Linked DNA regions of Bombyx mori. The main gene of each other region encodes a partner of the protein of the gene in region 2 in a complex. Links are inferred from orthologs where the notes say so. Each region holds a gene or a part of one and is shown on either strand. Other genes may lie near its edges.

Evidence for each region. The genes of interacting proteins can lie anywhere in the genome.
Region 1: U6 snRNA-associated Sm-like protein LSm4 (region 2) and U6 snRNA-associated Sm-like protein LSm8 share a complex: the UniProt entries of both Homo sapiens proteins name them as parts of the precatalytic spliceosome. The link is inferred for Bombyx mori from reciprocal best matches to the Homo sapiens genes LSM4 and LSM8.

Annotation. Positions count from the first base shown.
Region 1 is NC_085112.1:10,370,792-10,373,212, forward strand, and holds U6 snRNA-associated Sm-like protein LSm8, read left to right. Parts: upstream 1-1,375; 5' UTR 1,376-1,484; coding exon 1,485-1,775; 3' UTR 1,776-1,803; downstream 1,804-2,421. UniProt on the Homo sapiens protein: Plays a role in pre-mRNA splicing as component of the U4/U6-U5 tri-snRNP complex that is involved in spliceosome assembly, and as component of the precatalytic spliceosome (spliceosome B complex).
Region 2 is NC_085117.1:3,992,003-3,994,891, reverse strand, and holds U6 snRNA-associated Sm-like protein LSm4, read right to left. Parts: upstream 1,425-2,889; 5' UTR 1,058-1,424; coding exon 638-1,057; 3' UTR 599-637; downstream 1-598. Other genes in the region: guanine nucleotide-binding protein-like 1, read left to right, coding at 2,742-2,835. UniProt on the Homo sapiens protein: Plays a role in pre-mRNA splicing as component of the U4/U6-U5 tri-snRNP complex that is involved in spliceosome assembly, and as component of the precatalytic spliceosome (spliceosome B complex).

The DNA of each region.
Region 1 (2,421 bases), on a different chromosome or scaffold from region 2:
ATATTGTAGAGAAGCATTACTCGGTAATATGTTGCACAGTGTATCACAGCGGTCGGGGAACTTTTTTAATTATTACCCCAAAATATATTTTTTTAAGTTGGTTGGTTGGGTAATTACCCCATGGCGAAGAACAAAAAAAATATGAAATCGCTTCTTTTTAGTATCTTTCATATTATAGCCCCGATGATAATTTTCAAAAGAAAAAACTAAAAATTTAATTTAAGCATCATTTATTCAATTTATCAATGTAATACATAGTAATACATAACGGTAATAATAGTAATATCTGTAATATACAGTTGAGGAAAAAAAATCACCCCCACAGAGAATATAAGTAATTGATAATTTCTTGTTATTTTATAATTCACACGATGCCTACAATAAAATACCTGGGTCAATCACGTGAACTTTGTGTTTCCAAATAATGTGTTCTATCTCATTCTCTCGCCGGCTGAATCCTATATATTTATGTGTTTGTGTCTCTATGGACTTATTTTTCGTTTCGTTTAATTTCGTTTCATCGAATTTGAAATCACAACGATTCTAAAGAAGCTTCACTTCAATATATACTTTTTACTCACAAAAGTTTCATTTTTACGCCCCAAAATTTCATTTTAGGTAATTTACCCCGGTTCCCTGGCTGCTGGTGTATCATAATAATTTGTGAATATATGATCCGTCAGATCTTTTCTACCCAATTTACACGCTTTATATTAACTTCACTTGTATGTATGTTTGCAACTGACTCCTTTAGACGCGATTTTGACCCACTTTAAACGGCCAGAATTCATTCAAACTTTGTAGATTTATCGAGGACCGATAAAAAAATACTAATTTGATAAGATTATTCCATTATTCAATTTATAAAATAAGATTTTGGTCAATTTATATAATTTTTATCTATACTCGATAAGGCAGGAATTGATGTTAATGTACTTAATAGTTTTAAAAATACGCTTTTAAAGAAAATTTAAAATACATAATAGTTTAAAAAACTAAAAAAGACACTTTATATAAAATTCAACTAAAAAATTAAAATAAATTTTAATAAATTTAAATTGAAAATAGTGTAAAATATATTTTATTTAAAAAAAAGAGTGGGGTGCTTTTTAAGATATTATTGAAATAATAATTCTTCTACTCATATCTGTCAGAAAAATATTTATAACTAATAACACCATGCACCCCATGCTTTTTTTACAATAAAATATATTTTACACTATATTCAATTTAAATTTATTAAAATTTATTTTCTATTTTTTTAGTTGAATTTTAGATAAAGCGTGTTTTTTATTTTTTTAAACTATTATTTATTATGTAGTAATCATGTAGGTAGTAATAGTAATTGTAGTAGCTATTATACTAATCTGTGTAGGTACACATTTCAAATAATAATCTGTGGCAGCTCCCTGAAATTTGAAAATTTCTTATAGTTGTTTGATGTTGATTATTACTAATTTGAATTTATAAATAAAATAATTAGAATGGCTTCTGGACTCGAAAATTACGTGAATCAAACAGTGTCGGTAATAACTTCGGATGGACGTAATTTTATTGGCACCCTTAAGGGCTTTGACCAAACAATAAATATTATTTTAGACGAATCTCACGAAAGAGTGTTTTCCTCCACAAGTGGCGTCGCTCAAGTAGTACTTGGACTTCACATAATCAGAGGAGACAATGTGGCAATAGTCGGGCAAATAGACGAGTCAATTGATAGCAGATTAGACCTCGGAAACATCAAGGCAGAACCACTTGGACCAATGGTACATTAGAACTAGTTAATAAATGTTTTGTTATCAATCGGTGTTTCATTTGGGCAAATAAATATCATATTTTGTATTCGTCTCTTGTCTTGATTTACTAATTCGCAAAGCAGAATACATATTTTCACCCATAAAAATTAATCTTAGCCCTGGCTTGGGTTTTCCATTCTCTGAATAGGATTTGTGATAGCATGCCCTGTAATACCTGTTAGAATAGACAACACCCTGGATATATGTTCATTTCTTTGAACATAATCCTTAGGAAGTTACTTATGATGCCTATTGTAAACTACCAAATTAAGGGTTATATGTTTTACTCTTTCACAAAATACACATGAAGGTTCAAATACATTAAATCCCTGTATAATATATTCACAGGAATCAAAAATATTCATAGGTACTAAAAGAACCTTATTTCTCATTTGCTAATGGGTCTCATCACAATCAGCTCAGTTAGCCTGTTACCAACACAATTTTTTTAATGTGTTTGTGCTCTAGTAACTGGCATATAAATAACCGTTTTAGAATAAGCATAATAGCATTTCTTTTAATCGGCAAAGCCAAATAAACAAGAAAAAGATGCTTGAATTTTTTATTTTAATCGTGTCACAAAAAATGTTTTAGCATTGGTAATTATTTCATTGGAAAAATCACA
Region 2 (2,889 bases):
CTGTCAACTGTGATAATCAGGATCAACATCCTGACTATGGAACTCCTCATCTCTTAGCAGCTTAGAAATTAAGTAAGTGTTCTATTCAAATGTGATAACTCTATCTGTATCAAGTTTCAAGGATCATCATTAAAATATTGCTTTTACACTGTTTTTTTTTACTCTGTTTTTTACCATTTCATTAATGGGTATTGCCATATTATACAATAGTATTATTACTTTAAGCGTTTTTTGTAAATAAATGATTTCAGTATACTTTGATTTTTTTTATATATTGACACGAATTGAATAGTGTGAAAACCAATTAAAGATATAAAACAAAAAAATGTATTTTCTTAAAATATCAAGAAATAATAAAGTTGTATCCCATTTTAGATTTAACAGAGATATGGGTAGCTTAAATATTTTATATTAATGGATTGATGAATTCATAACTACCTGTGCATCTGCAGTTTCCAAATTATTTAGATATTATTGATTTTCAATGAATTCTACATCAGGATTATGACTAATAAATAATCTTGGATTTGGTCAAATATATGGTTGCTTTGCACCAGCATGTATGGAGGAATTTTGAACTTTAAATGAAACAAAACTATTCCTTAGCCAAATAACTTAATTTATTAAAAAACTTATCTTACATTTTATTTTTATTTTTGTTCTGTGGTCGCGGGTTCCCGCCGCCACGGGCTAGTGGAGGTGCTCTGCCGCGGTTACCGAATGCGCCTCGGCTACCACCACGGCCACCGGTCCTCATGTTTTGCCCGCGTCCCTTGGAAACCTCGTTACGACCGCGCGCTTTAACCTGTGTCTCCTCCTTCACCATGTCGATGACCTCGTCCGGTATTCTCAAGTATTTGATCGTACTACCACGTATATAACATTCCGGCATCCTCCAGAACTTGTCGCCGTCTCTCGACGTGCAAATAACTTCACGTAAATTAATGTTCATCCAATTATCGCAGCTTACGAGATGACCATTGTAAGTTTCGCCATTTTTCAATTCGACAAGCATAGGGTGGTTCTGCGCTGTCCGTAACAAAGATAGCGGCAACATTTTGATGTAATGATCAACTTCGTTTTGAAGTTTATTATTTATTTGTATTAGAAGTTTATTTTCCTACTTTCGCGTTGTTTGGTGTATTGTCAACTTCTTGTTTTTTTAGGTTACTTTAGGACTTTAGGTTGACACTGACAGTGCTCAGTTGTCAGAAGACGCACAGATAATACACTTAATATTTGAGAAGAAGTGAAAATTGCTTCAATGGTAATGTAATGAAGTTTGTGAACAAGAATTTACAAGTAGACGAGTCCAACTGGAGAGTTAAGGGACAGTTCTAGTAGTAGTGAATCTTGTGATGATGATGAATAATAATAAAACAATTTACGTTGCACACCATTGTATTAGTAATAAATAATTAGAAATCTCATTCCTGGTTTCAATTTATTCTAAAGGTGAACCCGTCTACAAAAATTGCATTCAATAGGATAAATGATGAAAAAAAAGAACGTATCGAAACTGGTGTTGAAGGGTTTTGTTGCTGAACTTAATAGTTAAATGTAATGTAACTTTTTTTGTTTTAATTTGACCATACAGCTTACTGTCCATGCAACTATCAATTTCTAGTTCCATGAGAATAAATCTATGTTCGATAATCCAAAGTCAATGACTTTAGCATCCTTACTGTGAGCTGTCAAAATTATCATAAATTTTTACTTTTTGGCGGGAACGCGGGGAGTGAAGTTGTGTGATTTGTTTTATTTTGTCTATTTATTGTTTCTTCAGGTTTAACTGTATAATATCTGTGAAAGTGCACAAGTGTGGGAAATTGAAACAAATCCGCTAGACGTAGCTTGTTGGGATCGTCCAAAGAGCCAATTGAAAAGTCTTAGTAAATGTCCACCATTTTACTGAGATTATATTTCATCCTACATCATCTCATCTCATTTCATTTAATTTCATCTCACTTCATTTCATCTTCATTTCATTTCACTCTATATTATCATTTTTCGTAAAAATAAGAATTAAATAAATTAAAATAAGATTTGACCTAAAAGTTTTAGTTACTAGGTCATAAAATCCCTTAGAAAATATCCTAAATTTGAAAAAAAAAACAGAGTTCAATGCCTTTAATTTGTCGGTCAGCTGTCAATTGTCAATCCTGTGAAAAAAAATGTTTTCAATTGTTAGCCGGTCGGTAGAATAATTTTCATATTCACACGAAAATCAATTAAATAGGTAAAAAGATAATAAGTTCAAGCCCTTCAGTGAGAAATTAGGAATAGATTTCTTGTTTTGAGTCTAACGTAAGTTTGAAACTATTTCTGTACAATTATAATATTCCAAGGAGACCTCGTGTTCCAAATTTTAGTTTTTCTCTTTATTAATTAGTTAAGTTTATTAATTCTTGATTTAATTACGGTTAAAAATCGGTTACGGTTTTTGAAAATCAGATTCTTAATCGCTTATTACGATCAATTAGTTTAGTATATTTGATAAATAATACATTACCCAGTACCTACATTTTTTGAGTTTACACTTACACCTGTAAGCGTTACTTTTGTATCTTCAAATCTGGTCATCAGAGCGAGAAAAAGTATAATGGTAAAATACTATGACGTGATATTCAATAAAATAATTAAAATACCCAGAAAAATATTAAAACTGTACTTGCAGTTCAACAGTTGTAAAGATGTTTACTTCATAATAACATTGTCCATAATTAACAGAGTTACTCGTCATGCCCCAAGCACGTCGGAAGACCCCGTTCAGCGGGAAGGCCAAAAAACAACAACTGCAGTCTAAGAAGCAGAACAAGGTTTTACTCATGCCTAGTACGTATTATCACATATTCGTCCTGAATTTATACAAAATTGAATTAGCTACTA